3 linked regions of the Lonchura striata genome follow. The protein of the gene in region 2 purifies or fractionates together with the protein of the main gene of each other region. This does not show direct contact. Links are inferred from orthologs where the notes say so. Each region holds a gene or a part of one and is shown on either strand. Other genes may lie near its edges.

Region 1 (7,421 bases), on a different chromosome or scaffold from region 2:
CGGACAGGTCAGGGGACAGTTGGGGACAGGGACAGTCAGGGGATGCACGGGGACAGGGACAGTCAGGGGACAGCTGGGGACAGGGACAGGTCAGGGGACAGTTGGGGACAGGGACAGTCAGGGGATGCACGGGGACAGGGACAGGTCAAGGGACAGCTGAGGACACCAGGAGACAAGGACAGGTCAGGGGACACACAGGGACATCCATGGGCAAAGGGAAGCTGGACATCTGGGGACAAGGACAGGCCAGGGGACAGCTGGGGACAGGGACAGGTCAGGGGACAGCTGGGGACAGGGACAGCAAGGAACTGGACATTTGGGGACTGCCAGCTGGACATTTAGGGACAGGGACACGGGACAGGCAGTCACACGGGGACAGTGCTGGGGACACTGGGAGAGACATGGGGTGATGCTGGGGGCGAGAGGTGACAGCTGTGGCGACCTGAGGTCACCGACAGCCGGGGTGACACAGAGGGTGGCACTGAGCAGGACACAGTGACACACTGGTGACAAGAGGTGACACCAGGCACAGGGGATGATGTGGAGGTGATACCAGGTGACACTGGAGGTGGCACTGAGGGACACGAAGGGATGGAGAGAGTGATGCAGGGTGACACCAGGTGACAGCGGGGACACAGAGAGTGACACCAGGGACACCGAGGGTGACACCAGGTGACAGCAGGGACACCAAGGGTGACACCAGGTGACAGCGGGAACACAGAGGGTGACACCAGGTGACAGTGGGGACACCGAGGGTGACACCAGGTGACAGCGGGGACACAGAGGGTGACACCAGGGACACAGAGGGTGACACCAGGTGACAGCGGGGACACAGAGGGTGACACCAGGTGACAATGGGGACACAGAGGGTGACACCAGGTGAATGGGGTCAGGGCGGGGCCACCAGGTGCGACACCCCCGCGCTGTCCCATTGGCTGTCACCGCCCCGGCGACACCTGGGACGGACAGGGCGACACGCAGGGATGGAGGGACACACGGAAGGGTGGGGAGGGACACTTGGGGACAGCGAGGTGGCACTAGGGGACATCAGACCACCCCAGCACCCCCCAGACCCAGGCACAGCACCGCCCCCCCCACCTGAGAGCGCTCCCAGCACCGGGGAGCCCGCGGGGGTCCCGGGGGTCCCGTCCCGGGGCGATCCCTCGGGGCCTCCCTTGCGGGGGTTCCCCATTCCTGGGGGGTTCCCCATCCCCGGGGTCCCACCCGGGGGGGGGTTCCCCATTCCCGGCGGTCCCCGAGCGGGGCTCGCAGCCCCGGCCCGCGCTCCCCATCCTGAGGGTCCCGGTGTGTGTGTGGGGGGGGCGGTTCCCCCTCACAGCTCCCCCCACGGCCCCCTCAGGCCCGGCGCGGCTTCCCCCAAGGCGGGGCCGCACTAGCCGGCCCCGGGGCCGCCTCCCCGCACCCCTCCAGGCCGGAGAAGCCCCCGAGGAGCCCCGGGCTCGCCGCCGGCCCCGCACCAATGTCGCTGTCCAGGCCCCGCCGCCGGGTCCCGCCCGCTCCGCTCGGCTCCTCCGCGACAAGATGGCGGCCGCGGCCGCTGCCACCCGCCGCCCCCTCCCTGCGCGCGAGAGGCCCCGCCCTCCGCGCTCTCCCATTGGTCAGCGCCGCCCGGCGCCGCGCTCTCATTGGCTGTCTCCTCCCGCCACCGCCCGCCCCCTCCCTCCCCGCCTCAGCCGACGCGAGGATTGGGCGGGCGCGCCCCGGCTGGCCACGCCCCTTTTCCTGCCGCAGAGCCCCGGATGGGGAAGGCCACGCCCCCTGCTGGGCCTCGTGACCCGGCGCGGCGCGCGCCGCCCCGACGGCGGCCGAGAGGGGACAAGGGGCTGGAAAGGCGGAGTGGGGGGGGCTACGGGGGGTACGGGGGGGTCTGGGAGCCATAGGGGCCCGTGGGGGGCTATAGGGACACAAAGGAGGTTTGTGGGGGCTTATAGGGGCCTATCAGAGGCTTGTAGGAGCGCTTGAAGAGCCCACAGGAAACCGCGGAAAACTTTACGTAGTGTCATGCCGAATTGCACAACTATGGGGAACCGTATGCAAAAATTTAAATCAAGGTCTCCGAGGTAACGCAGGAACCTATAGAAACCTAACGGGGGCCCTCAGAGCCACAGGCGGCTACACACAGGGGCTTGGGGAGGATTTGAGCGGGCTATGGGGCACCAAAGGGGGTCTAGTGCAGCCCAGGGGGAGCGTGGGGAGCCTCGGGGGTCTCCAGGGCCCCAGAGGGGCTCACTGGCCGCTTATGCGGGGCTTGGTGGCTGTAGGGGGCCATGGGGGGCTCACAGGGGCTGTGGGGAGCTCCAGGGGCTCATGGGAGGGGCCATGGGGATCAGGGCGCCATTTCCGCATGGTGTCGCGGCCTGGTGACGTCAGAGAGCCGAAAGGGCCGCTGGGAAATGCAGTCTGATGAGCACGCGGAAATGGCCGCGGGACCAGAGCACCAATCCCGCGGCGTCGTTGCCTGGAGACGTCACTGGGCCGCAGGGGCCGATGGGAGATGTAGTTTCTTGTTCTTCCCCCCAAAATAAAAGGCGCAGGAGTCAGGGGGGGATCCAGAACTTTATTCACAAACCAACACCGGGGTCTGGGGTCACTCCAGGGGGGGCAGGGGGAGGCGCTTGGGGTCGTAGTAGTTGGAGGTGAGCAGGGGCAGCCCCCGGCGCTCCCGCTCCCGCACCTGGATCTCGGCCTCGCGCCGCGCCCACTTCTGCAGCCTGTGGGGGAGGGGGTGGACAGGTGAGCCCCACACCTTGGGGATCCATGGGGACATCCCAAAGCCCCTGCCAGGTGTCCAAATTCCTCCCTCCTCAAGGGGCCTGGGATGGACCCTGGGATACCCCTATAGATCCCATACAACCCCCCAGAGTCCACCCTAAGCCCCCTCAGCCTCCTATAGCCCCCCCAGGGCTCTGTAGCCCCCTAAATCCTCTCCCAGATCCACCATGGGCTCCTATACACACCCTCAGAGCTGCCCAGGGCCCTACAGACCCCCAAAAAATTAATGGAGATCCCCATAGGATGCACAGGGGGGGGTCTTGTGGGCCCCCAAATTCCCTTGCGAGCTCCTACAGCACTCTCAGGAGACCCTCCAGCACCCAAAGACACCCCAAAAAAACCCAAAAATTTAGTTAAGAGCCCCTCCACAGCTTCCCCACAATCTCCCCTTGGGGCTGCCCCTCTCCCCCTCTTCACCGTGGGGGGGTTTCCCAGGTGAGAACCCCCCGATCACAGACCCATAGTCGGGCAGGTAATGCACGAAGACGGAGCCCAGGACGATGGCGATGGAGATGCCGGCCACGAAGGCGGCGCGCATGTTCAGCACGTCGGCATCGGGGTCGGCCGAGAAGCCATGATAGTCGGGGTTCTGTGTGGGGGGAGGGTCCTGTGAGCCCCCTGCCCCACCCAGGCACCCCCAGGTGTGTCCCACCCCCTCCCCCTGGACCCCCAGGTGTGTTCCACCCCCTCCTCAGGGCCAGAGGAGCCACCTGAACCCAAACCCCACCCCAAGGTGTGTCCCACCCCCTCCCCTTGGACCCCAAGGTGTGTCCCACCCCCTCCCCCTGGACCCCCAGGTGTGTTCCACCCCCTCCTCAGGGCCACAGGAGCCACCTGAACCCAAACCCCACCCCAAGGTGTGTCCCACCCCCTCCCCTTGGACCCCAAGGTGTGTCCCACCCCCTCCCCCTGGACCCCCAGGTGTGTCCCCCTCCCACACCACAGCCCTGACCACGCCCCTTTACAGCCCTGCATTCACCTGAGCACACTTAAACCCCTCCCCAAAACAGGCCCCGCCCATAAAGCCCCGCACCAACACCTCCCCACCCACCAAAAGCTCCGCCCACAAGATTTAAACCACGCCCCTCCAACATCCGCCATTTTTTCTTTACAGAAGCCCCGCCCCTGACCACGCCCCCACCGTCCCCACACAACCCCCGCCCCGCCGCTGTCGCTTTGCCCTTGGCCTCTCACCTTCCTCTGCGCCACCAGCATCGGCTCCTCCTCGTGCGCCTCGGCCCCGAGCGGCCGCGGCAGCGCCACAGCCCCGGGCGATCCCGCCGAGCGGCCCCGAGCCCCGGCGGGCAGCGCCCGCAGCGCCCGCAGCGCCCGCCACAGCGCCGCCATCTTCCCCCGCCGCTCCGCCTCGCCCCTTCCTCCCCCTCAATCCGGCCAATCGCCGCCTCGCATTGGCGCTCCGCCCCGCCCCCGCGCGGCGCAGCCAATCACAGCGCTGCACCTCCTTTGGCCCGCCTACTTCCTCGCCGTGGCCGCGCCAGTCGTAGCGCTGCACCGCCCCCTCTACAGCGCGGACCAATAAAAACGCGGCGTTTTCGGAGTGGCGGGAGGACTAACCAATGGGAGCGCGGCGAGGGCGGGCGCGCGGGACGGGCCCGGCCGAGCGGGAGCGGCGCCGCCATTTTGGCGCTGGGCAGCGGCGGCGGTGGCGGCGCCCGGGAAGGTCGGGACGGCGTGAGGGGCGTGAGGGGCGGGACGGGCCCGGCTGGGACGGGAGGAGCCTGCGGGGAGGGGCGGGGCTGACCGGGAGGGGCGGGGCTGACCGGGACTCCCGGTGCCGTTTGTGAGGGAGGGGGGTGTGAGAGCGGGACCCGGGGCTGGTATTTTAATGCTAATTAGGGGGTGGTGCGTTGCATGTTAATTGAGGGGTATATTTATATGCTAATTAGGGGTGGCGCGTTGTATGTTAATTAGGGAGTGTTTGCATGCTAATTAGGGGTGGTGGGTTGTGTGTTAATTAGGTGTGGCTTTATGTTAATTAGGGCGGGGTGTGAGGGTGGTCGTGTCTGCTCGTGCTCCCCTGCACAGGTCCCAGTGGCTCCCAGTTCATCCCAGTTCAATGTCCATTTCCCCCTTGTTCCCCTTCTGGCCTTTCCAGTTTGCCACAAAATTTTCCAGTCGTTCCTCCCAGTCCATCCCAGTTCCTCCCAGTCCATCCCAGTTCATTCCGTTCTGTTCCCATTGATCCCAGTCCATCCCAGTAACCGCCCAGTTCCTCCCAGTCCATCCCAGTTCATTCTGTTCTGTTCCCATTGATCCCAGTCCATCCCAGTAACTGCCCAGTTCCTCCCAGTCCATCCCAGTTCATTCCATTCTGCTCCCATTGATCCCAGTCCATCCCAGTAACTGCCCAGTTCCTCCCAGTCCATCCCAGTTCATTCCATTCTGTTCCCACTGAACCCAGTCCATCCCAGTAACCGCCCAGTTCCTCCCAGTCCAACCAGTTTCTGCCCTCCCAGGTGCTGGCACCATGGAGTACGAGCGCAGGTGAGGGGGGAACCTGGGGATCCCCAAAATTCGGGATCTGGGGGGAACATTGGGCAGCTCTTGAGGACTCCCCGTGAAATTAAATGGAATATTTTGGGGAGGTGACACTGGGGAGGGAGGGGACATTTGGGGGCACCTCAGGGGGTATTTGGGGATGCCCTGGGGGGGGTGAGGGGACATTTGGGGACCCCTGAGGGCAGAGGGGACTTTGGGGACCCCAGAGGGTGGAAGGAACCATTGGGGGGTTCAGGATTCATTGTGCAGATTTGGGTCAGTATTTGGGGTCTGGATTAGGGGTCCAGATTTGGGGTGCAGGATTTGGTGTCCAGGATTTGGAGTGCAGGATTTGGTGTCCAGATTTAGGATCCAGGATTTGTTATACATATTTGGGGTCAGAATTTGGTGTCCAGGATTTGGGGTCCAGGATTTGGGGTCCAGAATTTGAGGTTCAAGATTTTTTCTGGAGATTTGGGGTCCAGATTTGAGGTGCAGATTTGGTGTCCACGATTTGTTCTGCAGATTTGGGGTCCAGGATTTGGGGTGCAGATTCGGGGGTCAGGATTTGCTGTCCAGGATTTGGGGTCCAGATTTGGTGTTCAGGATTTGGGGTGCGGATTCGGGGTCAGGATTTGCTGTCCAGGATTCGGGGTCCAGATTTGCTGTCCAGGATTTGGGGTGCGGATTTGGGGTCCGGATTTGCCGTCCAGGATTTGGGGTTCAGATTTGCTGTCCAGGATTCAGGGTTCAGATTTGCCGTCCAGGATTTGGGGTCCAGATTTGCTGTCCAGTATTCGGGGTGCCGATTTGGGGTCCAGATTTGCTGTCCAGGATTTGGGGTGCGGATTCGGGGTCAGGATTTGCTGTCCAGGATTTGGGGTCCAGATTTGCCGTCCAGGATTCGGGGTGCCGATTCGGGGTCCAGATTTGCCGTCCAGGATTCGGGGTGCGGCTTCGGGGGGTCCCTCCGAGGTCTGGGCAGCAGCGCTGACCTCGCCCCTCGCAGGGGCGGCCGCGGGGACCGCACGGGGCGTTACGGGGGCGCCCCGGCCCCCTCCGAGGACGGCTCCCGCGCCCAGCGGGACCACGACTATCGCGACATGGACTACCGTGGCTACGGGGGACCCCCCGAGGGGCCGCCCGCCGCCGGGACCCCCCCCCAGGTGGGTGCTGGGACCCTGCTGAGCTTTATTTTAGCGTTAGAGTTTCGGTTAAATGCGTGGGATGGCGCTTTTTGTTGGGATTTAAATGTTTCTTGGCGTTTACTTACGTTATAGTTTTGTAACCGTAACGATGTTTTACTGAATTGAACGGAAAACATAATAAGTGCATAAATATAACACATAGCAAATCAAAAATAATAAGATTAAAATAATAAAATACACAAAAACGCGTGTAATTCTAGCATAATGTAATAAAAGGAATTTTCATAAGGTGTTTTTAAGATAAGCTTTACAATTAAGGAAGAATACTTGAATTTTTTAAATTTCAAGTCCTTAATTAGCTAATTGTAGTTTACAACGTGCACTTTTTTGTTTGACATTAAAACATTAACTAACAGCCAAAATGATGAAGAAAAATTAGCTTTTGTTTTAAAAGTTACTTGTTTATTACTGTATTTTAAAACAGTTAAGGTAAAGCTTTTTGCTGTGCAATATTGCAGAGTTTTATTTACGTTTTACTTATATAATTTTAACTTTACTATTTAATAATGGTAGTTTGTTTTACAGGTTTAGATTAGACCCTGTGTTTTTGGGAGTTAGTATTTGTTAATACAAAAAAAGTGAAACATTCAGTGAAAGGCGCTTTAACTAAGTATTTATTAGTAGAGAAAAAGCGAAATTTCCAGTGAGCAGGGCCCTCACCATCGCCCTCCCTCCCCTGTGCCAGGCGTCCTACGAGACCACGGAGCCGCCGCGGAAGCGGGAGCCGGCGCGGGAGCCTCCCCGGGAGCCGCCGGCGCTGCCGTTCGGCGCCGACGGCGATTACCGGGACCAGGATTACCGGGAGGGCGCCGAGGAGGAGCCGCGGGCCAGCACCATCGTCATGCTGCGCATGCTGCCGCAGGCGGCCACCGAGAACGACGTGAGCCCCGCCCCTGGGGCTGGCCACGCCCCTTTCGACAG
Region 2 (7,639 bases):
TACAGAAAGCTACCACAGTCCACCCTGGCAGCTCCCGAGCCGCCTGGCACGCCTGTATGCACACTCCCGACACGGAGCTGCACACTCCCATCCCACAATGTCTGCAGCTACAGATCAAAACTAGAGATATAAAACCAGTATATAGCAACAAAAAGCAATTTGCTGGACCGTAGCACTGTCACCGAGCGCTGTCACACAAAGGACACGGGTCAAATGCAGCCAGCATAAGTGGCATGCCAGCTATCACAGGTATTTATCTCAGGTACCACAATGCAGGCCTCCCGGGATATATCAGTGGAAATCCAGATTAATTCTGCTTCACATAATATGGGTCAACATCAGAGCAGGTATATAGAGGTGGGTATTGATCCCTGTGCTGAGAGTACTTCACTTTTGAGCAATGCTGTTTGGTTCTGGAATATGTTCAACTAGGCTTCTGTTTGTATCTTAATGACTACAGTGTTACAACAAAAACAGGTTTCTCTCATCCATCTTCAAGAACATTAATTCTACAATTTTGGGAGAAGACACAATTGTATTTAAATTTCCATTCAAACATTATGTTGATTGGATTTTATAGGCTGATTCTGATGTTCTTCTAACAGCTGCCCAGGCATCTTTTTTTTTTTCAAGACATGTCATTTTGGTAATAGAACAAATCAGGTCAAAGTTTTAAGAAGTGTCTTTTCACATGAGATTTGAACTTGCAGAAGTGTTCCATATATTTATGACAGCAAGTTTCCTTTCAGCATTTTTCTGAAATCTGATGCTAGGTCTTATCATTTGACCAAGGAGGCAGTCCCAAGCATACACTGATCCTCTACTACCTGCTGGACCTGTTGCTTCAAATCAGTAACACTCAATTCTCAGATGCTGCTTCATTTTGTGCCTCTGAATAATTTTCTTGCTTATCTTCAACTGTGGGGAGAAACTAATAACTCAAATCAATTGATTAATGCTTTCTGAAGAAATCTTCTGCTTCCACCTCTGCCACTGAGCATCCAGCTCAGTTCCTCTGGTAGAGGACCCAGTTACTTGCGGACACAACATCCTGAGAATAACCTCTATTGGATTTATCATGTAGCCGTTGATGATTTAGTAATCCTCAAAAAACTGGCAACCTCCTAAGTTTATGAGACACAGAATTAAACATTATAAACAAGGTATTTCTCCTCACTCTTAATATATTATACAGGGCATGTGCACCTGAGAATGCATCTCAAAAGACAGGCAGAGCAGATGGGAGGCACTTTACTTCTCACCAGCTTCAAAGAGTGAGGAAAAATAAATAAATAAAAAGAAAACCAGGAAAGAAAACTGCCCATGTTACATCTACAACAGGTATGAACTTGATTTCTGGAACAAGAGAATCTTTCCACTTTTTAAAAGTTGTGCAACTAGTTCTTTTGGATGGGGTGTTCCTCACTTTCAGGGTGGCTTTACCATTCACAGTCACAAAAGACTCTTAAGTTGCTCTAAGCCATGCAGTGGCTTCTAGAAACTAATAGTTCTCCCGCTTTTTCTTTAAAAAGAATGAAAGGAAAAAGAAGAAAAACCAAACCACCCAAATCTGCATTTTTTCCTCTGGCTGGCAGATTTCCAAGATAAAGAGGACTGCTCTCCGGCTGGAACAGCAGCCGGGGCCTGCTCTCCAAACTTAGAAAAGAGAACACCACACACAGAGAAAATGCGACGGGTCTGACCAGCCAGAAACGGCTTCTCATCCTCTGAGACAGCTTCTCCACTGAAGAAGGAAAACCCAAGCACCCGCGGCAGCCCCACGCCCCTGCCCCACAGCCAGCCCCGCCGAGCTGTTCCCACGCACCGCCGGCACGGGCGGGCAGCGCCGGGGCTGGCAGCGCCGGCAGCCTCGGGACGGGACGGGACGGAGGGATTAATCCCTCCTCTTTCTGATAACCAGAACCCACACAAAGTTTCCCTTTTTTTCAGTCACCTCCTCCCCAGGTGTATACTTTTTTCTATTATCACTATGACTATTTCTGAACAGGACAAGCGGAGGTGTCCGGGTCAGTGCGACAGCGGGTTACCGGAGCGGCGCTTACTCGGGAACCCCGCGGCTTTTCCTCGCCGCCCCGGTGCAAGGGAGCCGAGAGCGGCTGTGCTGGGCTGAGCCGGGAAGTGCTCTCCGGGGAGTGACTGGGAAACGTGGGAAGGGGGAAAGAAGAAAAAAGAAACACTAAAGAAGCACAACCGATGAGATGTGCCAAGGCTTATTCCCTTTTATTTCCTCCACCCCCACAAAAGAAAATAAACCAAGAATCAGGAAGTCAGGGCTGCGTGATCGCTGCTATAGGTTTAGTCTTCTCCCCGTTTCTCCCCTCTCTCTGTTTTTGGGGTGGGTTTTTTGTTTTGATTTGTTTTTTTTCTTAGGGAAATAAGTAGTTGGGACTTTCCCTCCGCCTCTCCCCACGGGAGGCCGCGGAACGCAGCCGCCCGCAGCGCCGGCTCTCTGGTCCCCCAGTACGCAGCTAGCAAAGGGCGGCGGGACCCCGCTGCCCTCTTCCCCCCGGCCCCCTACCTTTCTTTCCCTCCACGGCAAGGCAGAGAGCGAGGCGCCCCAGCAGCAGCACCAGGACAGCGGCGCCGCGGGGCCCGGCGGCAGCGAGGGGGCTGCGGCCGCCCATGCTGCGGGACCGCCGCTCCCTCGGCGCAGTGGCTGCGGGTCGGACGGGACGGGCGCACGGATGGTTCCGCGGAGCCGCTCCTGCTCCCCTCTGCTCTTCTCCCGCGGCAGCGATCAGCTCCTCTCCGGCGCTCTGCCCTGCGCGGCTCCGAGCAGCATGCTGGAGGGCGGCCGTCGAGGTCTGCGCGCACACGTGCGTGCCCCGCTGCGGACGGGCTGCTGCCTTCCTCCTCCTTCTCCTCCTCCTCCTCCTCCTCCCACCTCTGCTCCTCCTGCTACAGGCGGCGGCCGGTGCACAAGGGCTTGCGGAGCGGCTGGAGCCGGCTGTGGGACGGGGTGCGCCCGGCTGCGCTCTCCACTCGGTCGCGGAGCGCAGGGGCTCCCTCTGGGGACGCCAAGGAGGAGGAGGATTGGGAGGGAGCAAGGAGGAGAGGGGAGGAGAGACCGGCAGCGCCGGCCCCGTCGAGGTGGAGAAGAGGCGGGCCCCCCACCTGTCCCGGAATATAGGATGAGAGTAGGTGGAAGCGGGGACGAGACAGTTTAGCCGTTCCTCCTTGCTCGGCAGGGTGTGTATGTGCGGATTTTCTACTTCCCGGCAGTTTCTGCCCGGCAGCTGCCAGAGGCACGAGCGTGCATTTGCGGCACAGCTCGCAAAAAAGCGGAGTGGCGCTAACGCAGCTTCTGCCTTCCCGTGTGCTCCCGCCCGGCAGTCGTGGAGGGGCAGAGGGTTACAGCAGTGCGGGTGTCCCGGGGGAGGTCGCAGCAGGAGCTCTGTCCCGTCCCGTTCCTCAGGGAGAACGGTCCCCCCGCAGCTCCAGTGGGAGCAGTGCGGGCAAGGGAGAGCTGAGGCGCTTTACCGGGAGCAGGGAAGCAGCTCCGGAGGTTCGATCCACTCCCCAGGGGCGCATCTCCGGGGCTCCGGCCCCATTTCTGCCCCCCGAGATCAGCGGAGCCCACTTGGCCTCTGCGAACAGTCCTGCTCTCGTTCAGGTCATTTTACTCCCAATACTTGTAAGGCCAAGTGTGTGCGTGGAATAAAACAGCTCAGTTTTAATGCGAATTTAGCACAGGGGTAACAGGGTCCCTGTCTGCCCGTACCGCTTCTGTTCCCCGGCCACCAGCACTGAGAAAGTGCTCCTTGCTCCGCGTAGCAAGTTACTTAATAAACACAAAATAACACAAGTGTTCCTGAGGTGCTCCAAGTACATCCACAGACATTAAGCAAAAGAGTATGGTGCTCCTTTCCGTCAAGAGGAAAACCCAAGCTATTCAGGATTCATTAAAATATTCCTATGGTTTTTTAACAGGCTGTTTCTCTGGAAAGTGGGAGGAAACACTGTCTTGTCACTCAGGTATGTAAATAAGACACAGACGTGCCATTTGTCTGGGTTGGAGTTTCTCCGAGTAGATCATGATTCAACACTCAAACCTGCTGAATACCGGTGGTAATTTCTTCTGAGGGCTCTTCTGAGGGCTTAGGTTACACAGTCAATAGGATATGAAGACTTAAAACTGCTGTGATTAAGTGGGAACTCCGGCACTAAAACCAATAATGACATGAGGTTCGGGAAATTCCGTGCTAAATGTCTGTGTCTGTCACAGGGTACTGGAGCACAATAGATTGCAAAATAGTCACTGAGTGTACCTTGACTTTTCTCTGTTATGCATGTTTCTTTGAGAGATCCATCACCCTTCTCCTACCACTCAAATTCTTCTGAAAAATCTTTTTTTTTTTTTTTCTGATACTTTAACTAGCCGCTCTCCTAACTAGGCATAGAAAACTACCATCCCATTTACACATCCTAGCACATGCCTGGCCACATGCCTTTAATCGTTTACTAAGATGAGTTGCATTACAAGACTGCTTTCACATTCTGTAACTGACATTCTGGTTCAATTATATTTTGTAAATAATGTGGAAGGTGTACTTTGAAGTAAACTCACACATTAACAACATCCGAGAAGCTCTATTCATGTGATTGGTTTCATGGCTGTAACTGAGGGCAGAACCTTAGCTTACAATGCAATATTAGTACAAATTTATTTCAAAGATTCTCACACAGTGCAACTTCATATACACTATGTGTATGTGGTTCTTTTTCATTTATTTAGACAAATAGGAGGATCTTTAAAAGTGAGAGAAACCTAGGAAAAAGAGATCAACTTCTAGGGAGGGAAGATTTGCAGAGCATCCTCAGCACACACTAATGATTACAGCTTGCCTTATGATAAAGGAAATGCAATTAAGACAAGCAAGAAATTGACTTCAAATCAGTTCTGCAGGTAAGTTAAAAAGTGCCCCTAGACATGCACACTGGGTATCAAGCTACCAATATAGAAGGTAATAGGGTTTTTTTAATTTAGAGAAAGAGAGGATTCAAAGTGACAAATGAAAACCAAACTAAACATAGGGAAAAAAGAAAACATTTTTGCATGTGAATTCAGTGGATAAACTGGTCCAAATCCTGTCCTAACATGTTGAGGAACAAACACTTGTTTTGCAGAATTTTTGTTATTCTACTTGATATACTGGGCAGGAACATTTCATACTTGCTTCACCCTCCATCATGTACTGCCCTTACACAAACACACATAAATTCAAGTATTCGATACTAACTAAACACCTCCTTCATTGCTGACATGGTGAGCAAGGAGAGACTAGGCAAATGCCCCTTTAAATCTTTTTCCCAGGCTTCAGATACCCACTACAGGAGACTCTCATCTGCTGCTGGCAGTGCAGTACTGCAGAAGGGGCTGCACAGCAAGCTGCTGTAAATTCTGTCCTCCCACCTTTGTGAGCACAAATGTGTTACTTTTGAGGCATTGTACTCTGCTTGACAAGGTCACAAGACACATAAAGGAACTCTAAGACTAAAGTTTGAGAAGCTTATCACAGGCAGGAATTTCAGGCCTTTTTTACCAACTGAGCAATTTCTGAAATGGTTTAAATTCAAACATGACATTTTCCCTAAACAGCTGGTCACATACCCAGTGACTGCCTTTGGTGTAATTCCTCTGAAGCAAACATGAATTTTACCAAGGGCATTCAATATTCATGTTGCAAAATTTTATTGCTGGCTGCATGTGTGCATGGATCAAAGGTTATGGAACAAAGGCCAACCTTTTGATCACCAATTTTTCAATTGACAGTTCATAATGAAAATACTAAATGCAACATCTGTCTTCAGCTTTCTTTTGATTTGCTTGCTTTATAGTATGTGTGTGTATATATATGTATCATGTCTTCTATATATTAAGCATAAACATGCTGACCTGTGAAGTGAAGATGGTGTAATCTGGTAATTTTTCCACATGAACATGCTTCTGGATTGCAAAATTTGACTCACCGCCACTTGCCTGCTCCACTGAGCTGGTTACTTTGCCACACATGGAGAGAAGTAGCTGCAAGAGGATGAATAACTGATTTCCCTATCAGTGGAAAAAGCAGGATTAATTCTTCTATCCCTTCCACATTTCCTCCAAACAAAATAGAGTTTCAAAACCCTCTCAAGAGTTAAAAAATCCCTGCTGCTGGATCCTTTCCTTACATGAAAAAAAAAAAAAGGTTGCTTTTCATTATCCACCAAGAGTGGGTCAGCATTTGCCCCGCAAAAAAATTAATCAGCAACCATTTCTCAATGGTGATGCTGTTCTTCTCTGTAAATAAGTGGTGAAAGTGGTTTTAAAGTCAGGCCTTTTACTGAGAGACAAGAAATGGAGACAAATTAGCGGAGTTTTACAATCTGGTTTGCTCAGATTTTGCATGTTGTTTGAGATTGTTGACATTGTATTTTGCATTGTAGTTTGTATTCTATGAGTGCTCACTCAGGTTTTAAAGCAAGGGCTGAGATAAAAATTCATAGACCTTTATGGCACTTTGCATGTTGAAAATATTGCACACACATTAAGTAATTTATCTTTGCAAATCTCCTGTAAAGCAGGTTAGTACCTATCATTTCCATTTTATAGATGTAAAATAATTTGCCTTGGGCGGAGCTTTAGTGGTAGAGCTAGGGTTATCACTCAAGAGCTCTATTTAAACCTTGGATCATGCTATTTCTGAAGAGTGTCCCCGATGAAAATAGATGGATTTTTACACAGATTATCTTTCTCTCCTCGCTTAACACTATTTACAGAATCACAGAATATGCTGAGTTGGATGGAATGCATCAGGATCATTGATTCTAACTCCTGGCCTTGCACAGGACACCCCAAGAGTCACACCATGTGCCTGAGAGTGTTATCCAAAAACTACTTGAACTGTGTCAGGCTTGGGGCTGTGACCACTTCCCTGGGGAGCCTGTTCAGTGCCCAACCACCCTCTGGGGGTAAAACCCCAAACCTTCCCTGACACAACTCCAAGCCAGTCCCTCAGGTCCTGACATTGGTCACCACTGGTCACCACAAAGAAGAATCAGTCTCTGCCCCTCCTCTTCTTTTCATGAGGAGATTTTAGCTGCAGTGAGGTCTCCCCTCAGTCTCCTCAAGGCTGGACAGACTAAATGACCTCAGCTGCTCCTCATACAGCTTCCCCTCATGGCCTTTTACCATCTTTGTTGCCTTCCTTTGGCTGCTCTCTAATAGCTTTGTATCTTTCTTACACTGTGCTATCCAAAACCACCCCCAGCCCTCGAGGTGAGGCGATCCCAGTGCAGAGCAGAGGAGACAATCCCCTCCCTTGCCCAGCTGGTGATGCTGTGCCTGATGCACCCAGGACAGGCTTGGCCCTCCTGGCTGCCATGGCACTGCTGACTCACATTCAACTTTCTGTCAACCAGGACCCCCAGACCCTTTTCCATGGCGCTGCTTCCAGCATCTCATTCACCAATCTGTCCTACATCCCGAGTTGCCTCATCCCATATGCAGAATCCAGCAGTTTCTTTGGTTTTTTGTTTGTTTGTATAACAGAACTTAAAAAGGACAACACCAACAAACGCATCAGTGTTGAAATTAAACCTTCATCACAATAAATTGCATATCAATTGCATATAGTCA
Region 3 (7,372 bases), on a different chromosome or scaffold from region 2:
TACAGTACTCACTTTGTAGTTAGTATTTGGAATCACTTTCTGATTAAAAAAAATACTTGGGAATTTTAGAACCTGAAGTGCTGTTTCTTGCTAATAGTCTGTATGCCGTTGGCAACAGGTGTTTCTAACCACGAAGATTAACTCAGTTAATACCTTACTGCGCTCTATAGTAATGCTACTACTCATATTTTAAAATGGGGAAGAAACATACAGAAAATTATGATATTGCTCAAGGCTGCTCGTAGAAAGACAGCAGGTAAGAGAAATCAATGCAATATCCAAACTGCAATGCAACACCTGGACCAAATAAAGAATACAAATTCAGTACAGGTTATTCTACAGTAACTTTCCAGCTCTAGATCCAAATACCCATTGAGACAAAATTGCTCACCAAAAAAACATCAGCAGAATAATACCACAACATAAATAAAGGACCTTGATTCTCACTGACAGAACAAACTTGTCTTAACTGACATTACAGACCCAAAACGTCCAAACCTTTCACTCAAAAATTCATCCTAAGCAGAGAACCTCACCGTGGACACAAGTTAGGTGGCCAGAAGCCAGAAGGTAGCGGTCAGAAATCTCTGGAATAACTTTTGTATCACTAAACATATCAAAACATTCTTTTAAAAGATCTTTCAAGTACCTTATTGCAACAACAGCTACAAAAATAGAACTGCTTTTGTACATGGGACAATTAAATACCTATATCAGGTTTAAAATCAAAACAAAAATAAGCACACCTCTTTGAGAAGTACAACCAGGGGTGTCATGATGTCACTTGTCACCATGTCATCACAGACATCAAATCCTCCACAAGCACTCAGATTTCTGGGGAAAACAAAAAATTAGTGTTTTGGATGAGATACAATACCTTCCAAAAACATTTCAAAAACCCCATGCCTTTGATATTCTTCTCTAAACGTTATGGTACTTTTTGTTTTAAACTCAATTTGCTTAAACTGTAGCTTTAGTCTTCTACCTCACTAACGCAAGAGAATAACCTTGCAGTTAAAAAAATTATTTCTATTTATTCATGAAGCATAATTAGAAAGTTTATCTGTACTAAAACATCACGACACAAACTGCACTCAAGTTCTATTTCCTAACAAAGCCATATATTTCTAGCACAAAGCCTGCTCCTGACATTAAAGTCTGCCAGAGCAAGAAAAGCTCCTCTCCCCCACAGACTTCAGCTAATGTAGGCATAGTTCCTCAGGCCAGAATTAAAGCAAGAGAAGCTTTAAGAGAAGAAGGCACTGCAGTTCACAGCTGTCACCAGCAGAACCCCACAGTTTTCCCCTGTGCCATGATCCCCTGATTCCACCTGAGCAGTGGCCAGTGCTTACCGGAGAGCACCTGCAGCAGTCTCCCTGACAGCTAAGCTGGGATCCATCAGCAAGGGCCCCAGACAGCGCACCACGTCCCGCTGCACAAAGGCTGGGATGACGTGCTTCTGCTGCAGCAGCTTGGAAATCCCAGCACAGGCATACTCCCTCACTTCAGCACTTGGGTGCTGCAGCTGCGGAGACACGGACAGGGCACGTCACAGTGAGGGAAAAGGAGCTCAAGGGTTCTCCTGAGTGAAAAGATTGATCAGGGCCAGCACCGTGGTTCCCATTTTACTGCTCCTGAATGGAAGCAGGAACTTTTAACTTCCATGAAAGCTTATAAATCCTTGACTGGGCTATGTGTGTTAACTTTATGACTAGATAAATGCTATTCTGGGTATTTGACAAGATAGCCACAGTCCAGACACAGATTTGACACTAGCTGGCACTGGTGAGACCTCAATTACCATGTATTAAAAAAAAAGACTGAAGTGAGAAGGAAAATATCATCACTGAAGTGTAACAGACATAACACATGCCTCCATAAAGACAAGCTGAAAAAAACAAAAAATATAGCCTTTAAACAAAAAGCATCTGCATAACAGCAAGAAACAAGTGTTCCCTACATTCCTGAAGACAATGTTCACACATGCTGTAACAGTTTAGGTGAGATACAAGAATTACAAATTGCAAAATTAATAACACAGTAGAAGTGCATATCCTGGAAGGCCACGGAGTTTGTTGAAAACCTAGCAGATAAACATCTGCTGAAGAGCAGAACAGAAGAGTGGTAACATCAGATTCTGCCTCCACTGAAAAAGGGGTCTCAGCTCATGCTCATCTGTGCCTTTATTTCTGAAAAAGGGGTCTCAGCTCATGCTCATCTGTGCCTTTATTCTCTCTTCCCATTTCTTTCCTAAACAGGTTAGTCCAAAAGAATAATCAATAAGTGGTGTGTTCAATGAATTAGGTGGGGTGAAGCGAGCAAAGGGGATTTAATTACTTAAAGGCAAACTGATTTTTGCTTCTGATTCTGAAATCACACCTGCGGAAGGAGATTTACATCAGTTTTCACCTGCAATACTTAAGCCAGGACCATGGCCTACAAGTGGCCAAACCAGTCTTTCTCAGCATTTTCTATCCCTTATTCCCTACATGTGGCTCTTGCACACTTGGCTCTATCCACGTGCAGAAGCCTCCGGCCGGGGAGACCGAAGGCGAGCCCCGCAAGAACCGCTCGGCACGCCGCAGGGCGGAGGCGCTGGGAGCGCCCCGCCCCGCCGCCGCAGCGCGGGCGGTGCCGGGGCCGCCCCGCCGGCGCGGCCGTGACGCGGCGGGAGCGACGGCCGGGAGCGGAGCGAGCGAGGGAGGGGCGGCCCCGCTCGGCTCCTTCCCGCCGGGGCCGGGACCGCGCCCGGGGCCTCGCCCGGCACCGGCGCGGGGGAATCCGAGGCCTCGCCCCCGTGCCCGGCCCCGCAGCCCCCGCCGCTGCCCCGGTCCGGAGCGGGGCTCCCGCCGCGCCCGCCCGCGCCCGCCGCCCGGCCCCGCGCGCACCTTCTCCAGCAGCTCCGCCGCCGCCTCCTCCTCCTCGGGGCCGCGCTCGCCGTCGCGCTGCTGCGCGGGGCCGGCGGCGGCTCGGGGCGCCCTGCGGAACCGCCGCGCCCGGCTCTTGCCCATGGCTGCGCTCGGCGCCGGCGCGCCCACGTGTGCGGCCCCGCGCAGGCGCCGCGCCCGCCCCGCCCTGCCGCGGCCGCGCGTCCGACCGACCCCAGCCCGGCACCGAGGGCGGCACCGCGCCTCCTGCGCTCCGAGAAAATTATCGAGAGAAACGATTTCCTCTAAGGGCACTTACAGAGGCGGGATTGACCTGGAGGGTGGAAACCTGGAAGGGGTTTCCTCTCGGGTGTCAGTATCTTAGATTATAAGACCCACATCAAATACAGGAAATGTTGGTCCGGTATGAAAGTTAGAGAGTGCAGCTATAAATTTTCTGAAGTTCTTCTGTGTTCAGTGGAGATCTGTATTTGCACAGTACAAAAGAAGATAACACCTGTTTATACAAAGATTTTATTTTATACACATTTACCTACAAAATATACAGCAGTTAAAAATAATGGATGGGCAGAAGACTTACTGGAAAAAAAATCCAGAAGACAATTCTTAAGTTTCAACTGACAAAGTTACATCAATTACTGCCTTTAAAAGCCAGTCTACCCTGTAGTAGGGGTTACTGAAGTTGCAAGAGCTTTGCAGTTAGAGTCAATTTAAAGAGTTCAAAACATTTTAAAAGGCACCTTGAACAACTTAAACCCTTAAAATTTGCCAGTTTTAGCTACTCAAAAGTTACACTTTATGTGTATATCGTCCACGCCTTGTTGTTAACACTCTGAATAACAAACTTTGTTATTTTATTGTGGCACTCTAGATTTTCTTCACCAAATCTTAAGTTACACATTTGCAATACCAGTTTCGTATTCTGACTATCAGAGCAACAAAACCCACTCAGAATGGTCAGGTGGATTTAGATACAGTACAAACTTACAATTGGGAAGATATAAGCATATTTAAGACAATTAAAAAAAAATTAAAATCTTAAAATAAGTGTTTTGAACCAGATCAAACAAGAAACTACATATGACCACAAGGAAAGTGGCTGGTGCACTATATACACAACTTGACAAATGTAATCCTTGATATATTTGCGAAGTTCTTAAACAGTAAGACCAGTTTTCTCCGGCACAAACAGTCAGTCTTCCTGCGAGCCTTTAAACCAGTTCCAAAAGAGAGACCAGGAGACAAGGACGGCTGCAATGAGGAAGTGTGCTAATAAAACATCAGGAGAATGGCAAACGTTCCTTTCAATACTCTTCATGAGAACAAGAAAATCCATACACCAGATTTTACTTTTTTCCTGAACATTGGCATCAATCTGCTATTTACAATAGCTTAGAAAGACACGTAACACAAATGAGGTTTCATTTTCAAGTTCAACTTCATTGCCAATTAACATACTTCACCTGTATGTTCTGTTCTAGCTGAAGTAAAAAAGTGACACTAATACTGAAAAAGAGGTAATCAGAAGTAGCAAAAGCACTGATAATGTGATAACAAAGAATTTGGATAAATATTCAAGAAAGTAATATTGCACACTTTCACTGTCAACTGTGTTAAGACTTTTACTCCCAGGCAGTGACAACCAGTCCCATTTTAATTTTTTTGCTGTCATACTACCTTAAAAAAGGTCATTTTTGGTTTCCATGGCAGTGGAAAAAAATGAAGGAAGACAGCCCTTATTGAACATGAGGCCTAGGTTTCAAAATTAATTTTCCAGTCTGCAAGACAGAAAAGAAAACAAAGTTTAAACCCTGAATGCTGAACCCAACAATTACACTTCAAGTTCAATGTTACAGTAAGAGTTTAAAACAACACACAAAATGATACTAAGTATTCCACATTCCAGTTTCACAGACACACAGAATTTGCTGAAGAATATACAAGTGCTGTTCAGAAAAACAGACTTTTTGGATTATTTCCTTTTTTTCTTTTAACAAAGAAGGTTTAGGCAATGAAGCACTAACACTTACATCATCACAGGACATATTATATTCTGCCAAAACAGTTCGGCATCGGGCTGCTATACTGTGTGGATTGTGTCAAGGAAAGCAAGTAACACTTGCACACACAGTAAGCAAAAACTAAAAACGCAGTATTAGCACAGGCTCCAACAGGCTGCAGGAACTACACTTTTAACGTGACAAACATTATCAAAGGATACATTGATGGTGCCACCACTCTTTTATGTATTCCAGCAAAGAACAAGCCTATTAGGGTAATACAGCTAATTGTGAAAAATGGGTGATTCCAAAGTGACGTGAAAAATGATACCTAGGAAAGAAATTGGGTTATTCCAACTGCATACTTCCTAAAACACACAGAAAGTTGCTGCCTAGATCCCTTAACTAAAAATAAAATACTGCTCCCTAGCCATTTCCAAGTACTTGTGAACAATTCTTTAGATAAGCATTCAGAGTACAGTATTTTGGCAGGCAATGTCCCAGGACACATTCCACAACAATTCCAGACAGCTTGATAGCTTGACTAAAAATCACCTCCCAGTTTCATGTGAGAATGTGTTCAGCCTTTCAGTTTCCAATACACCACCTGACTGCAGCACCAAGCTATGGAACACAGCACATTAGGCATTAGCCTGACCTTACCTTTTGTGTCTCTGGGTCTATTAACCAGTTCCAAGCCCCAGTTGCTGTGCAGACTGATACCACTATCAAAATCACTGATGAAGAAAAGAATGAGAGTCATAAACAGTATACCTCACTCAAATTTAAATGTATTTATTTTTCAGCAGCAACTCTTAAACATTTATTTCCTTTCTCACTTCTGAGGGAGAAAGAGCTCCTAATTGGAAAGCAAAAATGAAAATATGCAAAGAAACATCTAAATGTGAAACCCTAAGGATTCTGTACAAACTTCCTGGACAGAACAAGTACATCTGAAAAATCTAAATTCTGTCAAGTAAAAACATCCTGATCCTTTAAAGGAACCAGAGTTATCTTTCCAAAAGATTATCAAAAGCATAGAGCTTCTTCTCTATATCATATAAATACTTTCTTTTTAGGATAACAGGAAGAAAAGCTAACATTGGTCACACACCCCATTATAATGAAAAGAGAAAGTCCCTCTTATGTGAATTACAAAACAAGCAATTTGGGGAAAAAACATGAGCCACTGAATACAATACCAGTTATGCAAACCTCATTTAAATATGCTTAAAAGTTTCCAGAATTTTTTTTTTAATTGTAACTGACAGAAAACAGCCATTTTGGAAGCCAAATGCATTCCTAAAGCAGAACTACACATAAATATCTGATTTCCCTGGAACAAGGGGGTTTGAGGTGGTGGTAGTGGTGTTTGGTTTTGCTTTCTAAGTAGTGTCTCTTTCAGTTCCTTCATTCAAAATTGACCTCTCAGGAGAAAACATACTATTTTATGTGTTCTAAAAGAAAGTCTGTATTCTTGGAGTAGAAAAACTTCAGCAGTCTCAAAAACAAAACAAAGTTGTATGTATCCACCACAGACCAGGGATCCCAAAGCTGGCAGCATATCTGTGGAATTTTTTGCCTTCCCCCCTCCTTCAAACCTTCCTGTCAAAACAAAGCTGCCTTTATGGCACACTGCTGTAACTTTTTCACCTTCAATTTTAGAGGGACTATTTCACCTAACCATGTTTAGTTTAAGTAACTACAGCAACAGTCTGGGAAGTCTGAGTCTTGAAGAAAAAAACTTCAGTAACATAATAAAAACCAGATAAAACAGAAACAAACACAACTTACTGTTTCAGGTATTTCCAGAATAATTCAGCCTTGAGCCAATTCAAACTTAACCTAATTTTTTTAACTCTGGCTAAAATATTAGTTTATTATCCTGTATGAACTTGTTGCAGAGTGTTTGAATGTATGCCACAAATTTTAAAGCAAGCCTAAATACAAATTTCTCTTTGGGCAAACTTAAATAAAGGATACACACTGGTAAATCTAACAAGCATGAAAGACTATTTATTCCTTGGAATATCAAACTTACTTCTCCAACGTCCTGTAGCAGGTTGCAAACATGCAATGTATTCAGTAAGTCTTCTTTCAAAAGCTTTGAGATCTGGGGAAGATGTGCATCAAACATAATTAGATCATCTGTTTAGTCATATTTCAAAGTAGAAGATAAAAAGAATTCCCCCATGCACACCCAGTTCTTAAACTGATAGAAAAGCCAATGCAATTATCCTTTATATGCAGCAGAAGTACAGCCATAGTAGCTTTACTCTATTTCAGGTAAGAAATAAGTGGTGGAGTTAATCTAAAAGCCAAAAAACATTCCCACTTACAAAAAGAAAAATCAATACAGTTAAGAAATCACACTATTTTGGGACATCTTCAGAAATAGTGACTTTGATTTATAGTAACTTAAAACGCATCTCAAAACAAAACAAAAAAAAAGTATCACATTTTGAAATACTAACTGTATCAGAA

The links.
Region 1: the proteins of EGFR (region 2) and RBM10 purify together in Homo sapiens (affinity purification with mass spectrometry, with the first as the bait; 3 studies listed by BioGRID). This does not show direct contact. The link is inferred for Lonchura striata from reciprocal best matches to the Homo sapiens genes EGFR and RBM10.
Region 3: the proteins of EGFR (region 2) and HEATR3 purify together in Homo sapiens (affinity purification with mass spectrometry; 3 studies listed by BioGRID and IntAct, with this or other methods). This does not show direct contact. The link is inferred for Lonchura striata from reciprocal best matches to the Homo sapiens genes EGFR and HEATR3.

What each region holds. Positions count from the first base shown.
Region 1 is NC_134638.1:897,520-904,940, forward strand, and holds the start of RBM10 (RNA-binding protein 10), read left to right. Parts: upstream 1-4,410; 5' UTR 4,411-4,474; intron 4,475-5,270; 5' UTR 5,271-5,281; coding exon 5,282-5,298; intron 5,299-6,301; coding exon 6,302-6,458; intron 6,459-7,185; coding exon 7,186-7,380; intron 7,381-7,421. Other genes in the region: NDUFB11 (NADH dehydrogenase [ubiquinone] 1 beta subcomplex subunit 11, mitochondrial), read right to left, coding at 2,609-2,732, 3,252-3,382, 3,988-4,140. UniProt on the Homo sapiens protein: Binds to ssRNA containing the consensus sequence 5'-AGGUAA-3'. May be involved in post-transcriptional processing, most probably in mRNA splicing. Binds to RNA homopolymers, with a preference for poly(G) and poly(U) and little for poly(A).
Region 2 is NC_134603.1:105,542,322-105,549,960, forward strand, and holds the start of EGFR (epidermal growth factor receptor), read right to left. Parts: upstream 3,016-7,639; 5' UTR 2,646-3,015; coding exon 2,540-2,645; intron 1-2,539. UniProt on the Homo sapiens protein: Receptor tyrosine kinase binding ligands of the EGF family and activating several signaling cascades to convert extracellular cues into appropriate cellular responses.
Region 3 is NC_134615.1:11,208,721-11,216,092, reverse strand, and holds the start of HEATR3 (HEAT repeat-containing protein 3), read right to left. Parts: upstream 3,012-7,372; coding exon 2,889-3,011; intron 1,526-2,888; coding exon 1,353-1,525; intron 835-1,352; coding exon 747-834; intron 1-746. Other genes in the region: CNEP1R1 (nuclear envelope phosphatase-regulatory subunit 1), read right to left, coding at 4,625-4,666, 4,919-4,973, 5,110-5,219, 5,552-5,625, 6,930-7,001. UniProt on the Homo sapiens protein: Plays a role in ribosome biogenesis and in nuclear import of the 60S ribosomal protein L5/large ribosomal subunit protein uL18 (RPL5). Required for proper erythrocyte maturation.